Linked DNA regions of Lepisosteus oculatus. The protein of the gene in region 3 purifies or fractionates together with the protein of the main gene of each other region. This does not show direct contact. Links are inferred from orthologs where the notes say so. Each region holds a gene or a part of one and is shown on either strand. Other genes may lie near its edges. The genes, in order: ubac2, ubxn8 and tbc1d15.

What was found.
Region 1: the proteins of tbc1d15 (region 3) and ubac2 purify together in Homo sapiens (affinity purification with mass spectrometry; 3 studies listed by BioGRID and IntAct, counting the BioPlex papers as one, with this or other methods). This does not show direct contact. The link is inferred for Lepisosteus oculatus from reciprocal best matches to the Homo sapiens genes TBC1D15 and UBAC2.
Region 2: the proteins of tbc1d15 (region 3) and ubxn8 purify together in Homo sapiens (affinity purification with mass spectrometry; 3 studies listed by BioGRID and IntAct, counting the BioPlex papers as one, with this or other methods). This does not show direct contact. The link is inferred for Lepisosteus oculatus from reciprocal best matches to the Homo sapiens genes TBC1D15 and UBXN8.

Annotation. Positions count from the first base shown.
Region 1 is NC_090710.1:6,082,097-6,089,706, reverse strand, and holds the start of ubac2 (ubiquitin-associated domain-containing protein 2), read left to right. Parts: upstream 1-4,593; 5' UTR 4,594-4,788; coding exon 4,789-4,819; intron 4,820-7,610. UniProt on the Homo sapiens protein: Restricts trafficking of FAF2 from the endoplasmic reticulum to lipid droplets.
Region 2 is NC_090698.1:27,356,394-27,363,798, reverse strand, and holds the start of ubxn8 (UBX domain-containing protein 8), read left to right. Parts: upstream 1-4,332; 5' UTR 4,333-4,424; coding exon 4,425-4,509; intron 4,510-5,540; coding exon 5,541-5,699; intron 5,700-5,940; coding exon 5,941-6,011; intron 6,012-6,990; coding exon 6,991-7,113; intron 7,114-7,405. Other genes in the region: mat2al (methionine adenosyltransferase II, alpha-like), read left to right, coding at 326-459, 2,738-2,840. UniProt on the Homo sapiens protein: Involved in endoplasmic reticulum-associated degradation (ERAD) for misfolded lumenal proteins, possibly by tethering VCP to the endoplasmic reticulum membrane. May play a role in reproduction.
Region 3 is NC_090702.1:22,594,405-22,602,245, forward strand, and holds the start of tbc1d15 (TBC1 domain family member 15), read right to left. Parts: upstream 3,078-7,841; 5' UTR 3,032-3,077; coding exon 3,008-3,031; intron 1,269-3,007; coding exon 1,170-1,268; intron 1-1,169. UniProt on the Homo sapiens protein: Acts as a GTPase activating protein for RAB7A. Does not act on RAB4, RAB5 or RAB6.

The DNA.
Region 1 (7,610 bases), on a different chromosome or scaffold from region 3:
ACTGAACTTACGATACAGATATTAAAGTTTGCATTAAGTTGGGTTTATCTTACTCATAACAAGCTATTTTAACTGCAGCACCACAGTTGTTCTGCCAGTAAGTGCTTCAGTGATGATGCTCGTGCTTGGATTTGCTTATTTCATATCATTACTGCAGAAGCTGGTCTCTTCAAAATGAGAAAGTAAAAGAGCAACAGTATCTGCAAGATTGTGTTACTCTGGGTTAGACACCAGTTCACCATGACCCTGTATTGGACTAAGCTGTAATTGAGAATGGATGGACATCCATACCAGTCAAAACACTGGAAAGACTACAAATGAGAGGAAATCACCTGATCCTTATTGTTCTATTTCTTAATAGTCTAGTACTAGAAATGACCCAACTCCAATTGTAAAACCACCTTAAATAACCAAATTAAGAGAGAGTTTAGAGTCCTGCCCCCCATGTCTTTAGGAGACAGGAGGAAACTGGAATTCCTGATGAAAACCCACTCAGACATAAGAAGAACATGTAAATTCCACAAAGACATATTCCCAACCTGGAACTCCCAATGCTGGCACTGTGAGAAACTAATGCAGACCACTGCACCACCTTCTAATGCCAATTCCATTTATTACTCAAGTCCTTCAGAGTTTAATGCCCTGTAATACAACTTCCAAATCTTCCACTGCATTGCCTGTGCCTTTTATCCAAGCGAACAGTGAAACACAAACCAGAGGGCACAAGTGGAAACTATGTGGAACTGCATTTAAAACTGAGTAAATGGCAGTTCTTTAGCCAAAGGGTTAAGATAAGATCATTTTATTGGCCCCTATACAATTTCTTGTATTAGGAATTTGTCTTTTTACATACCCCAGCTTGGGCTCCATGAGACACACAGGCATGGAGAGAGAAGCTTGGGGTCAGGGTGTAGGGTCAGCCATTTGTACAGCACCACTGGAGTTAAGGGCTTGCTCAGGGACCCAATGGAGTAAGACTCCTCTGCCAGCAGTAGGATTTGAACCAGTAACCTTCCAACCACAGGCACAGATCCTTAGCCACAGTGCCACCACTCCAGTTGTAGGTGAATGCATAGTGTCTATAAATTAGCAATAAATAATCTGCTTCTTTAGAGTTTGCAAGAAAAAATACATATTTATTATAAAGTTTAACAAAATATATTAGTGCATCCACCTAGATTTAACATCAGCAAAACTCTCAACACATTAGAAATCTTGACTACACTTTTAATTGTTTTTAAAACCAGGCCTCTACTTTTCCAATCCCATTTCTTGTTTAAATTTTACATTTTAGGATTTGATTTATTTTTTCAAGATTCCAAAAATGTTGTTTTTTATGTTACGGCCTATAATGAAAAGGCATTTGTAGCTCCAGGTGCTTTAAATAATAGTTTGTTTTGGATTGAATTTTTGTTATGTCCGACTATCAGTGCGTGTGTCCTTTTTTTTAGTATGAAACATCACCTGCAAACCTGTCCTCTGAACAGCTGCAGACAAAAGCAACGCATTGTCAAACAGGCATGTAAAGAATTTGGAATCTTTTGTGTTTTGTGGTTGGGGCTAGTTTTATAGGCCACACCTATTTCTGTAAAAAAAACAATATAAACTGAAGGGAGGAATTTGCTGTGACAGCATTTAAATCAAGACATTACTTGTTAATTAGTATTAATATTATCTCTGCTGCCTTGTTGTTAAATTACTTTGCTGGTAAGGTGTACTGTGTTATTTTAAATGGGAGTGCTGCTGAACCTGGATATGCTACAGTAGGATCAATCCTTTTCACTGTGCATAACACATTTTCTTCTTTCTACTGTAAATTGTAGTTAATCTACAAGTAAAAAAAAAGTATATATATAAAAGCTGAGCAAATGAACTATGCATAACATATGTCCTGCAATGTGAGACAATACGAAATGTGAACAAAAATATTTCTGTAATTTAGTTAGGCCTACATTGAGTCTAACATAAGAAGAACTGATGTGGATGTAATATGATAGGAATGAGACGTTTTGTCTAGCTATTGATATGTCTGGTTTTATTTTTTTTCTAAAGATCCAGGTCAAGATGAGTGTAAGAAATAAAAAGGGAATATTGTGTTTCCTAGCAAAAAGTATTAAGGTGAGACACTTTATGGTTAAAGTGGCACGTATTTTATTAATGTAGTATTAAGTACTCTAATTTTGAATGGAAAAGGAACGCCAGGCTCCAGCTGCACTGGGACCCTGAATTGGATGAAACGGTTGAAAATGAGTGGATGGGTGCATGGAAAAAGAACACAGTAAAATTTGAGCTCTGAGTGAAAAAATCAACTTTGCATACTCACACTCAAAGGGGCAAATTTCACCATACCACACCATAAGGCAATTACTGTCTGCATCTAGAAATGCAGTGTGAAAAAGGCGGTGCTATTTAAGACGATCCATTTAAGAGTTAAACATCTATAAGATGTATGATTTATACATACATGCCAAATTAAACAAGACATGGCAGGTCTGTATTTATCAATACTGGACGATTTCATTAACGTGAAGATTCATTGTGCCTGAGGGATGATTAACTAACGTGCTGCAACTAGTTGGCCATTTTGTTTCTTTGCTCTTTTTGGGCTAACTGTAGGATTGCTAGTCAATAATCACATTAAATGTTTAATATCGTTAATAATTTAGACGCATTTTGCTGTATACTTCCACGTATGAAATCTTTTAATTTATGACGATTCACCTGGCACTATGTCTTGTACTGCTATCTTGTTTTTTATTTGCATTTCTCTGCTTGTTGGGCACACCTGTGTACAGTATGTGCTGTTGTGCTTTTTTGGGGGGAAACCTAAAGATTTTCAGAATGTAAGTGAAAGTACTGTAAGTGCAAATAGGGATCCCACTCTAGGGCAAACTATTATCCACAAAAACACTCACACAAAAAGAAAATGCCAAAATATAAAGATTTTTCCTCGAAACATTTTAAAGAATTTCACTTTGTCATCTCTTTCAATTAAATCTCTCCCGCAAAAAGTTTAAGTAGCGAATGGAAACCATTTAAGCCAACACACTTTTTTCGATATATGGATTTTTACACACAGCGAAACATGAAGTGGAAGAACGTGCAGCAATAGGGGAAACTACAGGTATCAAGTATAATACCTAAGCGCGTATCCCCTAGAAATCTGTACCCGCCTTCCAAATGCGCACGGGTTCTGCATAACTTTCCAGGATACCTGATGATTTAGACGGCGTGCATGTAATTACCTCTTCCTTTTTTTTTGCGATATGGATAAAAAACGAAACCCGTTTTTTATGCTTCTTTAAATCGGTTTCTCGGTGTATTAAATGTGTATGCTAGGGATTATAGTATTTTATTTTTACCGGGTGAATTAAAACTGAAGTTATTTTTACACAACCGAGAGCAACCCGAATTACAGAACATAAAGGCTATGTGCATCTTTTGTCCTTATGTATTATATAAATAATTTATATATGATGCGAAAACTCATGCGTCACCGAGAGTGGAAAGGGTAAATTTTCAACGACGCTTGCGCATTTCGAAGGGTGAGACACATTTCTAGTGGATACTGAATTGGATACGACAACTTTGGAGAGAAACGTATTGGAACATCACAATATTATCTACTAGATGTCTGAAAAGTCTTAAACATACTGAAAAACTCTTGAACAATGAACAGTCTAAGCACTTTATTGCATATTTATTATCATTTATTTTTTATTGTCAAATTATAAAGAAAATGTATTGTTTTCATATTGAAGTAATTTATCAGAAAGATCTTTGTATTAAAGTTAGAGACGTCAAATGTACCCGAAAAACGTGCATGTCTGAATCTCTTAATTTTAAGAGACAAAGTGCTACAAACTCTAGACAAACTCTTGCGCAATGGTCCCACCTTCTGACAGCATAATGAATTACATGCATAGGGAAATCGCCCTCTATAACTACAGGAACAAAAACTAGTGCAAACAAAAACTAATTCGGCTCAGAATTTCAGTTTAAAAACTGTTGTGATAATAATAATTATATCATAATTAAAGCAAACAACAACAACAACAACAACAACAACAATAATTAATATGATACAATTATTATTAATATAATAATTAAAGCAAAGGGTTTATTTAAGAAAGTCTTATAGATTTTAAGAACCAGAACAACTAAACTTTTAAGAACTTAATTTCAATTCAACATCTGCTTTTAGTATACATCGCTCTTACAGGTTAAGATTAATGCTATTACAGCTATCAGTTTTTTAATAATAATAATAATAATAATAATAATAATAATATCCCATTTCTATCCATGAGCAATGTATATTAACATTACTACTTTTAGTACAGGATATTTTTTAATTTAATTATTTAACTATGTTGCTCAACACGGTTCTTAATAACGAATTACCATAGCGGCAAGAGAACTAAACATATTATTCAGAAAAAGGAAAGCCCTAGACAACAGCTACGATTTAGCATTTCTGGTAGCTTTCTATATCTACCGGATGTATAGTAGGAACAGAATGATAATTGCGATAACAAATGCAACTACTTCACGTTCAATAGAATGTCGCTGTCAACGTTTTTCACGAACGCGTTTTCCTCTTTGCGAAGGGCGGTATGGTGAAGAAGTTTGGCCCTGCCAGGCTACCCTCCTTGGTTATCTTTTACCTTTTCACCCTTCACTATTTTTTTTTACTTTTAACTTTTATTTCAACTTTTTGATCTTAATTATCAGTGCCTTTATACTCCTGTTGTTTGCATTCCTCGGAAGCCTGATTTCTTTGGGGACATGTTTACGACCACTGGCTCAACGGGGCTCTGTGAGTTATTTTAATGATATATTTTAACTTGACAAGTTACTGTTCTCTGCACTGTCATTCATTCGTTGATTGTTAATATTAGTTTATTTTTAATAAGCAAGCGGTTGCTAACAGTGCATGCCTTACACATATTTCGTAGTTTATGACATGATCTTTGGGTTTAGGCATTAGATTTGTCCATGGCGTTTCTCTAGTATTTTTTAAAGGGATTGCCCCAGGTCCGACGTTATTTTAAAAACTGTATTGTTACGACGAATTCTACCTACAGTATGATAAAAAAAAGCATTTGTATTTAGAGTATTTTCTACTGTATCAGTTGGCATGATTAGTTTCGGTCACGTTAGAGCGATACGATTTTACAGTACGTCAGCTGCCAGCAGAGCCCTGTCTTCTCTAGTCTTTACTATGGAGGCGTTTAGTTGTAGTAAGACATTGAATTCCTGTAAATCGTTTGTAAAGAACTGTTGCCCTCTGTGGTGTTACTTGCAGAATTCCTCCTAACACCGTGCCTAATGTTTATTAAAAACACTACATAATTCATTACAGTTTTTGTTTCAGACCTTTTGTTTTGGTTGTTGATTGCCACATTGTGTACTTATTTTCAAACATTACTGTACCTAATGTCAGTTCTCTAGTAAGTTGTTTTTTCTCTGCTTAAAAATTCAGTTGATTTTGTGAAGCTGAAGCTAGGGAGAGTCTACCATGGGGTTCTAGAGAGCCAAACTCCTGTAGGTTTTATCGGCAGCCTTAAAAGGCCAGAAAGCAGCAATCTGGAAGCAAGTTAACTGGTATTTAAGCAATTTTTCTGATCCAAAATAAGCTATTGAGCGCTCAGCTGGAAAAATCCCAGAAAACACTGTGGCTTTCTCAGACTGGTCAAGGATGTGACTCTGAAGTGCAGAGAGCTAGCATTAGTAGCAACGACTTCCACCTAGACTTTTGCTTAACTGTTTATCAGCCTCTTGCATTGACTTTTCACAATTTTAGCCCATTCTTCTTTATTCATCTGCTTCGAGCCAGTGACAGTTCAGGGTTTCCTCATGCGAACAGATTGCTGCTGGTCTTGGCATAACATTTCAATGGGATGTAGTTCCAGACATTCCAAAATGTGAAATTTCTTCTTCTTCAGCCATTCTGTTGCAGATGTGCTTGTATGTTTAGGATCATTGTCTTGCTGCATGGCTCACTTTCGGCTTCAGCTAATCGTCTGCCATAATCATGGTTCCATCACTGGTGGCAGACCATTCAAGTCCTGAGGCAGTCAAGGAATCCTAAACCATGAGTCTTTCAACACCATGCTTGACCATGTCAGGATGGGGCTGTTTAGTTGGAAGGCAGCATTTCAATTTCACCACACAAAACATTTCTCATTGTGCTGAGAAAGTTCAACTGACATGTCTATTCAGAGAACATTCTTCCAGTTGTCTTGTGGTTCGTCCAGTTGCTCTTTGGAAAAAAAAAATGAGACAGGAGGTAACATTCTTTTCAGAGAGTGATGGTTTCTTCCTGGATATCCTCACATTAACATTATTCCCGTTCAGTCTTGTACTGATGGCTGAGGCACGAACACTGTGATTAGCTGCAACAGGAGAGGCCTGCAGATCCTTAGATGTTACTCTGAGGCTCTTTGTGATTCCTGGATGATTTTCTGGGCTTGTATGAGGAGATCTTGGCAGGATGACCTGGGAAGTCACAGTGGACTTAAATATTTCATTTTTGGGGAAGGGACACCAAATGTTTAGAAATGGTTTTATAACTCTGTCCAGACTGTTGAGCATCAGCTACCTTTTATCTAATGGTTTCTTACATCATTAAGAACGGGACTGCCTAAACTCCTGTTTACTTGTCACCCAATTATTTTCCAACCTGATTCTAATAACTTCTTTGAATGTGCTAAATAATCCAGAGTTCAATTATTATTTCACATACACTGATTCTTAATGATTAATTTATCTTATAAATACACTATACTGTTTCAAAAAACACTAATTGGTAAATATAAGCCCTTTTGGCTATTTAAGAAAATATTTGTTTTTTTCTAAACAGTGGTATCATGGTATGAAAGTGGAATTCCCCTTAACTATATGGGGAATATATAGTATATTAAATACAAATACATTTGCTGTAAGTATTAATAAATCAATATAACCTGTTTTACTAATTGTTTTTCACATGTGGAGGCGAATTGTTTTAACAGTAGAGATTGTACTGAAGCTAAAATTTCGGTAAACAGCCCAATGCAAGCAGCCAAATTACAATAATAGGCTAGTTTCTCAGTGGTGTCAATCATAAGACTCATAAGAAAGATTACAAACAAGAGACCTGACTTGACACCTGAAGAAAGCTCCACGGCCGAAACGTTGTGTTTTCTCTCTCCTTTTTTTCAGCATGGAATAAACCTATTGTTCCTTTGCAGCTGACGCACACTGACGCATGCTGACGCAGCTACCCACCTGAACCAATTCAGAAGAAGTCCACTGCATTGACTTTTTTAATGCCTTTGATGATTTGTAGTACATGTTAAAATACAATAAGCAATATTACTGAACATCTTGTCTCCTAAAATTGCTTTCCCACATTGAAAACTTTAAATGTTACCAACATAAACACCAAAGTATTTCTAAAAAATAGTCTTTTCTAGCTCAGTGTTTTCCATTTTGTAGTTATTATGTTTTTATTCTTGCATGCAAAACTATGCAGGTCTGTATTTAATCTGCCAAGTGTCTTGGAATTTTATGTTAACCTTTCTGAATTTCACTTTCTGCTACTACAGTTTTCACTAGTCTTGGCT
Region 2 (7,405 bases), on a different chromosome or scaffold from region 3:
ATCAGTTTGTTCTTCAGAAGACAGGGACTTGGAAAATAACCTCGTGAGACTGCGAATACTCTGACCAACGTCCAGGGCTCTCACCATAGTTGCTTGGGAAGTGTGTTTCTAAGGGGGTGAATTTCATGTTGTACAATTGGGACCTTGAGCTGTGAGAGCTGTCCTTGCCAAAGAAACGAGATTTCTTCATTTAAGCTCGCAGGCAGTGTGCTTTTTGGAACATTCTGGTAGTTGCCTGCAGCTGCATGGAAGAAAATGTTAAAAAAAGGTTACAGTACAAAAAAGCAACAAGACCTTTCTCCTTTGCTCTCTTGTTTTGTAATAGATCTCCTATGCCATCGGAATAAGCCACCCGCTGTCCATCGCAATCTTTCATTATGGCACCTCGACTAGAGATGAAGATGAGCTGCTGGAGATAGTGAAGAAAAACTTTGACCTGCGACCTGGGGTCATAGTTAGGTCTGTTTTTTTTTCCTTTCTTTCTGGGTTTTAGTTAATGTTATGTAGAAGACTGACTGAGCTGAATTATTTGCTGTCATAATTTAAAGAGACAGATTTTAAAACTTCACCCATGCTAATTTTGATGTAATAGTTTTTGTTTGGACAGAATTTAGTACAACCTCTTACATTGGACCCTTTTAGTAACTGTTATCATATTTAACCGTTATCCCTTTTAGTAACTGTTATCATATTTAACTTTCTCGTCTCGAGACTGTGTTTGGAGTCTCTGACACTGCCCTCAAATGGTTTAAGTCTTACCTCACTGATCGCTGTCACTTTGTCTCTCTCAATGGGTACAGGTCTGAAATTGGTCTTGTCAAGTCTGGTGTCCCTCAGGGCTCAATACTGGGCCCCTTGCTCTTCAGCATTTACATGTTCCCACTTGGTCAGCTTTTAAGATCACATGGCCTCAGCTTTCATTTTTACGCTGACAATACTCAAATATACATCCATACCAAACCCGACACTGATGTGGCTGTCTCTATTCTATCTAATTGCATCTCTGACATAAAAATTTGGATGACTCAAAACTTCCTTCATCTTAACTGTGACAAGACTGAAGTCATGCTTATTGGTACCCCCCATCAACTTCGTAAAGCCAGTCCTGTAACCCTGTCTGTAGATGGCTCTGTACTTGAGCTCCAATCAAAATTGAAAAACCTTGGGGTTATATTCGATTCTGGCTTAACATTCGACCCACATGTACAGCATACTGTCAAAACATCTTTTTTTCACCTTAGAAATATCGCAAGACTACGCCCTATGCTATCATTTACTGTGGCTGAAAAGCTGATCAACATATTTGTATTCTCTCGAATTGACTACTGCAATGCTCTGCTCCCTGGGGTATCTAAATCTACTCTGAACAAGCTGCAGTATGTCCAAAATTCAGCAGCCAGAATCCTGACCAGATCTAGTGCAAGTGTTCACATTACTCCTATCCTGGAGTCCTTGCACTGGCTTCCGGTCAAATTCCGCGTAGACTTTAAAATCCTCATGCTCACCTACAAGGCTTTACATGGCTTGGCACCTCAATACCTGTCTGAACTTTTATCGCCCTACTCCCCACCTCGCAACCTCCGCTCTTCAAATTCTGCCCTCCTTACTGTCCCCCAAGCCCGTCTACATTGTATGGGCGACAGGGCCTTCTCCTGCTATGCCCCCAAGCTCTGGAACTCCTTGCCCAAGGATATTAGAGAGTCACCTTCTCTAAACTCCTTCAAATCCAGACTCAAAACCCTCCTTTTCAGAAAAGCCTTTACTTAACTGCTTCCATTCTTCACCCCTCTGCTCTTCTTAATACCATCTTCCACGGTCTCCTCTATTGTTATTGTTGTATTGTTGTAATTATAATTGTGTCCTGTCTTGTGAAATTTTCTTATTTATTGTTGTAGTCTTCTTATTTATTGTTATTGTCATCCTGTAAAGCGCTTTGAGAAGCCACCTTTAAAGGCGCTATATAAAATAAAGTTTATTATATTATTATTATTAACCAACTAATGCAGCAAATAACTTATTCCACCAAGCTGTGGTGGAACCAAGAACATGATACTGTATAAAATGTCAATTTAGGCACAAATGATTCCCCTGTGAGACGCTCTGTCGTCATCAGCACTCTGTTGATAATATCCGTGCTCTTCACATACACTGGAAAAGATGTGGCAAGACAAAGTGAAAGGTTTGTTTCAGGTGCGACAGGCTGTCAAATACTGTATTATTATATAAAAACGTCTGTCAGTCCCGCTTGTCTGTGGGATATCTGCGTATGTGAAAATAATATCTCAAGAATAGATCTGTCTGTGGCAGGGTTTGTTGCAGGTCTTTGGCCTTGAAGGGCACTGCCTAACATATTTGAAGGTTTGTGGTACAGTTAAGCCTTAACTAGACCATATTAAACCTTTTGTCTTGGGTTTAATGTTGATTAAACCGACAATGTGACAACACGATGGACTGGGGTCCTCAAGCACTGGAATTGGATCTTTTCTGAGAAACATTTCAAGATTCAGGGAAGTGTGTGGAATACCCATAAAAAAAACATCTAAATGCTTTTTCCAGTTGCAGTCTGCGCCCCAAAATAATAATAATAATAAAAATCTGAAATACGTACACAGTATTTAGGTTAGAAATGTATTTAAATTAGAGCTGGAATCTGTAAACCTAAGAATCTGTTAACTTTATTTCTATGGCGGCTAGATTTTGTGTGAGTTTGTGGTAAGCTATCTAATTTTTCCTACAGGGAGCTCAATTTGAAAAGACCCATCTATCAGAAAACGGCGTGTTATGGGCACTTTGGGAGAGAAGAATTTCCCTGGGAAAAATCAAAGCCACTGGTGTTCTGACAGAGTCAGTGTTGACCTGCAGTCCTGTCCGAGACACGTATCTTCACTCTCATCACATCTGACATCCAGAGAGTTTTGTTCCTGAAACACGATGACTTTGCAATAAAACAAAATGGGCTTTAAAGTATGTTTTATACTACAAGTATATATTGACACACTTGGTAAACACGTATGTATGGGGTTGCACTAAATGTTTTGAAACTTATTAAAAAACATAATTATAAAAAATCAAGTGTGGTTTAATGGAGTGTAAGGGACAGCTGATATTTTCAACTTCGCACATTTTTATAATTTCACTTACAAAAATACATTCCTTTTATGGGACTTGTTCTCCTTCTTGCAGATGCCACAAAGACAGAATTCAGCATTTTTTTCTCACAGCCTTTCCATTGCCCTTTCTACCATATTATTGCTGCATATTTAGAGAAATTCTTTCCTACATCTCTGTCTTTATTATATCTGAGCCTTCGTTTTTGGGTCGGGGGTCTTTAAATGTTAACAGCCTTGCTGAAGATCCCCACAATGATATTGTCATGTCATTTACCAAACCGCTTTATACCATAATGGAGTCGTGTTAAGCCAGAGCCTACCTGGCAAGCAACGAGCACAAGGCAGGGTACACCCTGGACGGGGCACCAGTCCATGCCAGTCATACATGGGGACAATTTGGAGGCCACAGTAAAGGCCGAGGGGAGAAATTTGGCCTGGGCACTGGGATAACTCCCTACTCATATCGAGAAATGCCTGGGAATCATTAATGACCATGAAGAGTCAGGACCTCGGTTTAACTTCTGATCCAAAAGACAGCACCCACTACAGTATGGTGTCCCCGCCTCTATACCGGGGCATTAGGACCCACACAGACCACAGGGTGGGTGCCCCCCACTGGTGCCACTAACACTACTTTCAGCAGCAACCATAGCTTCCCAGGAGGTCTCCCATCCAGGTACTGACCACACTCAACCCGGCTTAGCTTCAGCGGGTAGGCAGTTGAGAGCTACAGGGTGATATGGCTGCTGGCACAATGATATTGTGTCTTGCATAAATAAATCACCTTTACCGTTTAAACGCATCTTAAACTTTGATTCAGACTGAAGGATTCCCTCATTGTTGAAGCAAGATTTGTATGATCAGAATCAAAAAGTTTAATAAAAAACAAGCCTACAACAGACAAAACTGTTTTAAACAATTAAAAAAAAATGCTTAGTGTGAGCCAGTGGCACCATTAGTTTATCCAGAATTTATGTATTATGTATGACTTTAAGCCATACATAATAAAAATTAAATACTGTATCTGATATAAACTAATATTTTCTAATATATACTGTATCTGATATGAAGCTCTTTTTTTAAACATTGAGGTATACAGTATCTCTGCTCTTTAGTGATGCACCCTTGGAAGAAAAGTCAAGAAATCCCATTTTTGGGTGCTAGAGGGCAGCAATGATTTTTTTCTTCAGTAATCTTAACTACATTTCCCAGAGGTGCCAAGCTTACAATACGCGTTTCAATCAGGAAGAGCAATGGGGAACTACATACAGCGATCTTAAAAATACTCGCTAATTAAATCAGATTGTAAAGGGGATGGCTGAGCTTAAGACAGTTGCACTATTCGGAATAGTGTCTCTGTCTTTCTATTGTTTTGCTTTGTGGAAAAACTCTAATGTTGGTAAGAAAAGGTCTCCGTCTTAGTAACTGTTTAGTGACGTGAAATAATTTATTTGACCTGTTTCTGTTCTTTCGCTTTTTTATTATTATTCATGGAAGTGTGTTTGTAATACGTACCAAGCAATATCACAGCACATAAATATAAATATCGTAATTTAGTTTTATAGCTTTTCAACTTTATAAATTCGCACAATATTGAAGGATTCCATGAACACCAATTTTCCGATGTATAAAAATCAGCATCAGGCTCCTTTCACAATTAACGTTTATATTTTTATCTGAACTGTCTCGGTAATTGATAGTTTCTAATTTTTGCAGTTTTTCTGCCTATGAAATTGTCACACCAAAAGCTGTTTTGTAACATGATGATCATCACTGTTCTCATGCATTTATTATTTTTAAAGTTCTTGCTTGATTTTATTAATGTGAAACAAAATTTCATAAACTTTCAATTATGAAACATTAATTTCATAAAAGAAAATGTCTGAGAGGAAGACACGAAGCTTTTGTACATGTCTTTTTAATAATTGGGTTGAAGTAGTTCAAGTAGGTAGCTGCGTCAGCATGCTTAGGCTGCAAAGGAACAAGTAAAGGTTTATTCCATGCAATTTTGCATATAATGCCATAATGAGTTTGTCCGAGACATTTAATAAAAATGTTATTTTCGACCAGTGATGCAAATAATGTATATTCTTCCAGCTGAAGTATCGTTTGGAAAGAAGTCGCAAAACCTTGCCCCTTCACTTTCACTCTAGCTCTTCGAAATTTTAATCATCCGAGGCGTCGTTACGTGGAAAAGGTGCATGTGTATATCTCATAAGTAAACTTCTCTTTTCATTTTCTTCTGTGTTGCGGATATCCTCCCCACCACCTTTGCAGCTACAGCCTAGTTATCTGCTCACTCTGCTGGGCGGTCCTGCAGCCAGGGACTGGGTCTTCAGCCCAGTGCGTTCGTCCATACCTGAGCGCTCAGACGTGTACTTATTCTTTGCGATTGCCTGTTGTAACGGGAGATCCCGTGTGTCTTGTCAGGTGTGAGACGCGTGCTGCTGTTGGCCGGGCGAGGGCTCCTGGTGCTGGCTCTGGCTACGTGGCTGGTGTCGGCAGTGTTTCCACGGCTGAGATCCCTCTTCCAGTCCACTCTCCACCTGGTCTGTCCCCAAGGTCAGCGTCAGCCACTCCACACTCTGGGTATACTCGCAGACTTACCTCTCGGCTCCCACGAGAAAGGCAATAGTACCGGCTTCATCGCAACACATTTGGTCATTGGTTATCACTGACTTTCTGTGCAGCCAGGGTTTGAAATGTATTGTATTTTACCAACATTGCCCTTTTTTTCCTTTACTTTTTATTTAATAACCTTGAATAATCACAGAGACTACCCTTGGCACCAAGAGTCTGATGCAATATGCATTTGATGTGTTTTTTTAAGTACCTGAAGATGAAGCGAACTGGGAACGGGACAAGGCCAGGAAAGAACAACAGGAGAAACACAATGAGAAGGTGGGTGTCTGCGGTGTTCAGCCTTTTCTCGTGGTTCAAGAAAGCTTTGTTCAACAGGTTTTTCATGTATCAGGAATGGAATGTTATGGACTCAAAGTGTCTTATTTTTGCCCTGGTATCAGTCAGAATAGTCTGTGGTGCTACAATACAGGAGAAAGTACATGCTGGGTCATGTACGATTGACGTTTTTGCACTGGTGATTTTAGGCCATTTGCTCAATACAGTCAGTCCCTGCAGTTCTTTCCCAGTGCTGTTTACACTGCAAGGATATTAGTATCCAAATCTCATTTATCTGTATGCAGACAGGCAGATATGTTAGTCAAAGTGAGACGTGTGTCAGTGCCAGAAATATTTCTATCATGATGCAGCATGTATAAAAAAAAAGTCATTGCTAAAGGAATGCTTGTGACTGAGAGCTCCTCTCCAGTCTTGAGACATGAGGATGTGAGCGTAGTAATTTAACCTTATGGCTCTGTTCCTCTTGCTGAGGTACAGTCTGAGAGGCAGTTAGGACTTTTTAGCACAGTAGGCGATGTACTGCTGAAATTACAAATGCACATAGGACTGTAAATTAAATACTTTAATCTCTAGTCTCGTTTTATTATTTTATGACAAGTTTTGTAGCTTGTCTTTTGTCTACGGGAGTATGCAGTGGTCTTAGTATACATTTTTAATTCCTTAGAAAACTGTAAATGTAAGAATGCAAGAACAGTTAGAAAAGAAATGAGGCCATTTGACCCTTTTCAATAGTGGTTCATTGATCCCAGGTCTTGAAGGAAGCCAAAGCATCGGTTTCAACAACATGGCTGGGCAGCTTGTTCCACACTCCCACAACCATTCTGGTTGGAACTGGAAGTATCTGAAATCTGGGATTATTTTTATTCGCTGTACTAAAACAATCTGCTGACAATCTGCTGTCCAACAAATCCGTTAGTTTAACTGCAAATTTAACCCTTTCCTCGTCTTGGTTTCGTATTAGGCTTCCACATATCAGGAGGTTGTGCTGAGGCCTCGTCAGGAGTCCAGGCTGAGGAAGAAGCAGGAGAAGCTGTACAGGATGACTGGGGAACTCTGGAAGCTGTCGGCGGGGCAGGCACTTCGGGTGAGGATAGGAGCTCACTTTAGGACACAAGGGAAAGGGGAAATCAGGTGTGGCTTTAGAGAATATGTAGTCCCAGATCATTTTAGATCCCAGAGCCATCCCACTGTGTGTCTTCGTCTGGAAACTTTAAACATCAACTCCAGGAACAAGAGCCTTAGATTTTAGATGTAGGTGCAAAAGGTTGCTGTATGTTGCTAAGCCTCAAAAAGGCAGCACTTGGAAACAAGGCCATGACGATAGAAAAGTAGTTAAGCAGTCACACGTAGCTGTAATTACCCTCTTGTTTGCTGAG
Region 3 (7,841 bases):
ACAATGCCCGCATCAGTGACAGGAAAGTGAGGCTCCATGCTGCTGGCCTTAGAGCAAGGCGACCTGTCAGAGGCCCTCTGCTTACACCTCCTAGACATCACACCCGACTGGCTTGGGCCAGACAGAGGCTGCAATGGACTCGTCAGCAGTGGCATCAGGTCCTCTTCACGGATGAGTCACTCTTCAGCCTGTTCCACACAGATGGGAGGACCAGAGTGTGGTGGAGGTGTTGCATTTCTTTTTTCCATCAGTATGTTATGTGTTGTTACTGTCATTATTAATAAATATCAATACATTTGTGCAAACCAAATGTATCTAAATTATTTTCACCAAAGCTGTGCGATATGTGGTATAGTGATTCTCACTATTCCAACTGTTTGGGTGTATTCTTGGCAAAATGGTGATGAAAGGCATATGATAATATACATTATAGTATATACATTATTCATGATTAATGTTAGAATCTTAACAACAGAATAAAACAGTGAAAGAGATTTAAAGTATACAGTTCTGCTCTCATTTACACTATAAATAAAGTTTTTCCAAGGAACAGAAACAAATTCCATTCTTCTTACTCTGGAAATGTTGTTCACTATTAATGGCCTTATTTCTCATATGGGTATAATCTGTTCATTTACGTTTTTGTCTCAAACATTGGTTACTAGAGAATTATTCAGATGCCACACTTTTAAAATAAGTCTGAGTTATGCTGGTGATTTCTGAATGTTTCCTTTTACCACCAATGTAACACAAAACCTTAAAACCGGAAAAGCCCTTCCCAAATAACCTACTTTTATTTAAAGCTTTAAATAAAATAGATAAAGCAAACTGCATATGCACAAATTATAATATAAAACGACAATCATGTTAAGAGTTCAAAACATGCAATGGCTGGAATTCCATTGTGCTCATGAAATTTCAATTAATGGGAAGGTTTTCACGTAATGAAGATTGTTTAGAACCTGTTAAATTCAAATTTAATCTATAAAATAATTTAAGATTTGGATGTCAGGGTATACAGACTGTAAACTGAACTATCATTTCTAAATATGATGTCTTCACAAAAAAACATTATGTGAAATAGAAAACATTATAATTTACAAAGAACTATATCCGAGAAGCTTTTAGTTTCTGTACTCAGCTCTTTTTACTTATGCGTCTTAATCTACCTTTTCGGTTACTCGAAGAAATCCTGAAATCAGGGAATCTTGGTCTTCATTTCTTTCTGAATCAGAGTGGATAAAAATCCCTTCCTGTTCATATAGAACCTGCAAGAAAGGAATGAGAAACACATAAGAAACCATGTTTCTAACCACTATTGGCAACGTCAGCAGTGGCATCACTGAGCCTTTGATGGAGGTACACAGCACAAGGCAAGACAGCAATCAGAAAGGGAAGCCAGCCTGTTCTAGGGCACAGACAAGCAGAAAGTACACTTTAAAGACCCCAATTAACCTAAAATGCCTTCAGTAATTTGAAGCAATATGGAACACTTGGATAAAACCCATACAAATACATGTTGAACATGAAAACACCACATTGCAGATACTCCAATCCAGAATCAAACCCAGCTTCCAGGAGCTGATGCAGCAGCACTCCTGCATGATGCATGTTTCCTGCAAATCACATCATGTAAGTGATTATACGAATTATACACACATAGCCATGATGACTCCAACTTTATTTTGCATGTATCGCAGTGAACAGGAAAATGGCAACAGAATACTCAGGGGAATTCACAACAATTCGAAACCCCCTTTAGGCCAATAACTTTTTGGTAGAACTGTTACATCTGCTTTTCCATAAAAGGGAAATGCCACATTCTTTCTCTGAAATTTTTGTGCAAACTCTCAATACATAATGATGCTTGTTGGTGTATTCTTCAGCTTTATGACGCCACTATGCTTTAGTGTTTAAAGCATGAAGATAGGGTTCATGTGTTGTGCGAGAAATACAGATATCGGTGTCTCCAAAACATTGTGTTTTAGCTGACATTTTAGAGGAGAATCTGTTTTGACTTGATGTTTTACTCTATTATTGCTGATTAGTTATCCAAAAAAACAACAACACAGACAACACTTCCTGTTCTTCAAGTAAGGGGTGTCAAGTGTATATTGCATGCCACTGTTAATATATGGCAATATTTCTTGTAAACATCAAGAAAATTGACTAATGGAAAACAGAATAAAGGCTTTGCTACATCCATTGCAATTGTAATGCAATGCAAACAACAAACATCTGGCTGACAACTTAGCAGAGTAGATTAAACAGACATTCAGCACTTCAGAGTAGTTAATTTAACTTATACTGGCGTGTTGTTGTGTTAGATAGCGAGTTGCAGGCCGTTTATCTCCCCATGGCTGCTGTAAATATGCTGGGTACCGACTTAATTCCATGCAGCTTTTCGATTTTTTTTATTCTGTATAAAACAGGAATTTAGGAAGTCGTTTTCCACATACCATAAATAAGCGGGTTATTTTTTCTTGTTTCTATTTTCTACTAAATGCCAACAGCATTAGTGCAAAACAAATACAATCATAACTCTAATGTGAGTTTCTGTTTTCGACAGAGGTGCAGTTGGTATATACTTGCTTTCGTAATAAATTAAAAAACATGAGCATACATTACATGTTCTTTTTTTCTCACACCAGTTTCGGGCATTAGCTATGCTTACAAAAGTGTAACCCCAAAGCTTTGTGCCCGTAACTAAAATACGACATTCAATTAACCAGATAGGTGGCTAGGTATTATGTCGTACATCTACTTGCTTTCGTGGCATTCAAGAGGGAAAAATCATAAAGCTTTTGCATTCACAGGACCCAAATTGCAAAGCAATACACCTCTTTCTGCTTCCATCAGGATAACTATACAACACAAAGCTATTTGCTCTAAAAGGTCCGCACTGTTGTAAAATGCAGTCCACGAGGAAGAAAACTCCTGTTTCACTGGCCTCAAAATACGCGCATTTTGTAAGAAATTATCTCTTCGTGTACTTTTCTTTCTGTACCTTGCCCGCTGCCGGAGCCGCCATGTTGCTCGCTGATGTTTACGATGACGTAGCACCGCTCACGTGTTTTTCAGGGCTCCACAACCACAGAGACAAATCATCTTCCGCGTGGACCGTAGAGCGCCTGCGCAGACCTGCCAGCTGGAAAGAGGAAGGGGAGAGAGAGGGCGGAAGCAGTCCTCACATTTTACTTCTCTCTCCTTGTCAGTTAGACTTGCTGTCGTTACTATACTGATGAATGACATCTGGGTTGGCGGTGGCAGTGTCTGTGCATATCAGATTTTCAAAAGCGTACAAATAGGCATGTCGAGATTTGTTTTTTATACATCTCGTTTACAATTAATATACTAATTTGAAAGTAGCAGAAATTTGAGCCTGGTCATGTTAGCATTAAGGCTAGCCTCAGTAACAATCGACAGGCACGTCCAACCACTTCTTATATTTATAGTACAACTCAAAAAGTATTGGAAGTAATTTTAAGGCAAACATATATACCCTTTATAATTCTTATAATAACTTTTATTCATAAATCACCCTTCCAAACTGGGTGATGTACAAAGTGACAAAACTAAATTCAAGGTGTTATATAGGGCGATTAGGCCTGGTAAAAAGATCATCAAAGAATTTCACTCTTGAACAGTCAGGGGAAGGGCTGTCCATAATAATAGAGCCAAAACAGAAAAGGCACAGTCACCAAAAGCCTGAGATTTAGTCCTGGGAACTAAACTGGATAGAGCCCAGGGGAAGGAGTGTAAACATGGAGGAGTTCAGAGATGTATGAGGGTTTAGAGTCTTGAAAGTCAATCACAAGATCTTATATTGAATATGTCATTTTACGGGCAACCAATGAAGAGACGAGTCACATGTTACTAACGCGTGAGTCAGAAGTCTAGCGTAACAAATACACCCCTGAGTATAACAGGGATCTCAGCCACCTGGGCTGGGGGAGTTCTTATTTAGCTCAGCTGGCAAGTTCCCTGTTGCATGACGCTGGAGACCCGGGTTCGTGCCCAGGCAGTGAGGCATGAACGGGCAGGGCAGGAGTGGCAAGAGCGCAAAAACCCCAAGAACTGTTACACTAGCTGCAGAGTTTTGGACTTTTGCGATTGTTGCAGTGTTTGAAGCAGAGGGGACCACACCCATCAAAAGGGAACTGCTGATGATGTTGACAACTAACAGGCAGGCGTCTGACAGGCAAGCTTCCAGTAAAGAGGTAGGGATGGGATCTAGGCAACAAGAGGTTTTCTTGCAGCTGTTAGCAGTTTGTGTAAATTGATCTGAATTAACTAGGCTTAACTCAGAGAAATCTGGTACAGAGAAAATGTCAATGGATAGTTCTCAAATATCTGAATCAGGAACAAGATTAAGGCTTGATTTATTTATATAATTTTATATAATTTATTTGAATAAATGTATATAATTGATTTATACAATTTATAGCATCAATCTTGGATTGAAAGAATTGCAAAAACATAAGACAGGGGTGGAAGAAAGAGCATATTTGTCAGGGGGCATAATGAGCTTGTTAATAACAGAGAAGAGCACTTCATGATTCCCTAGTCCAGAGCTCACTGTATCCTGAATATAGGAGGATCTGGCAGTACCGTAGACTTGCAGGTGTTCATTATAAGCCTAAGTGCTTACGTGTGAACCAAAAGGCTGTTTTTCTTACTGAAGCACTTCAGACGCTGACCAGTTAGTGGTTCAGGTGTATACCATGGAAAGGAATGTTTGAAGGAAACTGCTAGTACTAGTACTAGTCAATACAGTGTTTAAATTACTGGCTAGGTTAGCTGTTGAAGATGACTAATCTTGTAAAGGGTGAGAACTAAGTACAGCAGTAGAGAAATCAGAATGGTTCTGCCTGTCAGACAGATAAGAGCAGAACCAGTTAAAAACAGTACCACATTTGTTTCAATTGTCTAAAACAAATTGTGCATTGACATCTCTCTGACGAAACAGGGATATGGACGTCAAATAACAAAGGTTTGTGATCATCCTAGAAATCTGCAGGTCAATGTCACAAAAGGCTTGGTTTGACTGATCAGATCGTCCACTTTTACAGAACACTGTAGATCTTTGTAGATGTGGGCTCAAGTTCTGATGTAAATATGATGAACTATACAAGCATAAAAGCTATGGCTACAATCACTTGGAATTGACATACTGAAGGCCAAATTGGAACATTCTACTTACCTTAATCATCACAAATCCTCTGCAGCAGCAAAATTATTATTTAATTGCAGAGTGCACTATGTCTGTAAATCTAGAATAATGATCTATTTTATTAGTAATAAAATTGATAGAAAAGGCAAAATGAGAATATTGGATCCTGATGAATCCAGGGCATTACTAATTCACACTGATATGCAGTTTCATATGAGGCATTATTCAAGAATAGCTCTGAGTTTTTAATGGTATTGCTGTAGGAGGAATTACTTCATAGCATTTTTATTGAATACTGAACTACTGTTGGAATCTGTATTTGGATAGATTGAATTTTTTGAGTGAGAGGTCTGTGGCTCCCAAAATACAGAACATCTTACATTTTTATTATTCATTCTTAGAATGCCTAGAAAAAAATAAAGAAAAAAGTCTCCAGCTGTTAATCTGATAGGGGCAGCTTTGACGTAGGGGCAGCTTTGACGTTTCATTTTAGGTCATTGTCTCTTTGCTCTGATTTTAATGCCAAAAACGATGTCGGATCAAAAGATTTACTAAAACGTTCCACAGCTGCACCTTAAAAAAGGCTAAAATCTGAAACATTTCAGGAACAGCATGCTGACTTAATCTAGATCAACACGTGTAGGTACACTTTTCTGTCTGTGGCCTCCTGAGTGGTAACTCAGCTGGTAAAAGTGCTCAGCCAAGCACTGATTCAGCTGTATGATCAAGGTTTCAAGCCTGGGTCATGTCACTAGCCAACTGTGACCAGCAATCCTAAGGCAATGGCACACAAATGGATGAGTACCACCGAGGACAGGGTGGGATCAGTCAGTCAGGACACTCTTATTGACACAGTGACCACTGCAGCCTCCCAGGCTCTTGTAGGCATGTTGTGCTATCAGTAGTGGAAACACCTCTCCTAATTACTGTAACAGTGAACCTCCAGTACAGGACTGTGATGCCTGTAAGGTGTTAAAGGATGAGTGTCTGAAAGGTACAGCAGGTGGGACTTTCTTCTGTATTGTAGCTGGAAGTGGAGATGTGAAAAATACACAGTTGGATATTCCAGATAGAATTTAATAGGTGATTCAACATCATTGTTTTTCTAAATCTTCTTTTTCTGAATCCTGTAATATGTTGTTTATGGTATATAAGATGATCTGTTGGAGTCTTTTATTAACTTATCATATCTCTCTTAAATGTAATATAGCAAGGCTAGTAAGAAAAATAGACACACAAAGGGTACACTAAATTCTTTGACTAAGCCATGATCATGAAATGTGATCTGCTTACTTATGGAGTCCTCTCAACTACATTTAACCATTTGGTATATTTGGCATTTATTGTTTGTGATTTGTGTCGTGCTGGATATATATTAGTTCCCAACCTTCAACAGAATTGTTAGACAATAGAAAAGCTCCAATGTGATTTTCACAGATTTACCAACATTTTATCTTCACAAAGTGATCGTCCTGATCTGATTCAATTTCAGCGCCCATCAATCCTTGGCCTCTCATTTGAATAAGCCTACACAAGAAATTCAGACGCCACCTAGCATGGGGATTTTATAGTGTTGAATGATATCCAGGAAGAGCTAAACTGACAACATGGAATTAATTGCGAACTAAGATGGATCTCAATCTGGGCCACTGGAGACAGAGGTTTATTGAAGTCACATGCTATACATTGATAAAGACTGCTTGCTCAGTTTAACATGAAGCACTGAGTTCTATGTATGTTGCCTAGGGCAATAACAGGATAATTTGTATTTACTATACACCAGGACAGCGTTTCTTTGTAGAAGAAGCATTGAATTAGTCCAGGTAGCTGCTTTGGTTTAATAAACAGATTACAATCAAAAAACAAAAATGAACGGAATATAGCCTAACAAACTAAATCTCACCAAAAAGACACAGATCATATTTTCAGGAAAAATATAGATTTACAAGATGATATCGCACAGTATACTGTGCCTCAGTGAATTCGTTCTAAGCATAGTAAACTTTTACTAGCCCAGATAAAGGACTGCACAAATGTAAGGGCACATTCTATTTTTCTGAGGGGAAGTAAAATGGTTTTCAGAAGGTTACACTAGTGAGAACTAATGTGAAAATAATTCAAACATTGCTGCCTGGATATAGGTCATTTCTTGCTCACTAAATACCATTAAAGCATGTTTATGGCTTTCATAGAATTGGCCCTTGCCCTGGCAGTCACTGTTAAGTAGTGCTAGCAGGATAATGAAGTAATGTGTGTACCATAATGGCACTGTGCAGCAAGCAGGCTATTTAACACATTAATTAAAAAAAAAACATTTCATGTAGAATATAACTGTCATTTCAATATCTTAGATGGTAGACAGATATGCCTGCCGACAGACAAACACATTAAAGATCTGCTTTCTCTCTCTCCCGGGGGTGTAAACAGATGAAGCATCTAATTTAAATTTCATTATTTACCATCTCAGAGGAGGGACTGAAGCCCATTTTCTTTTCTCAGAGGCACCAGGATCTTGGGGTTTTTTTTGTGAATAAATAATTCACGCTCTTTCACGCATACACAAAGACACACATTAAGGGGATTAAGAGTTGAAATTGCTCCATTTTCAGTCTATGATTGTGATGTCTGGCTCTAAGCGGTGTTTTGCTGGGAAATGCCCTTTTTTTTC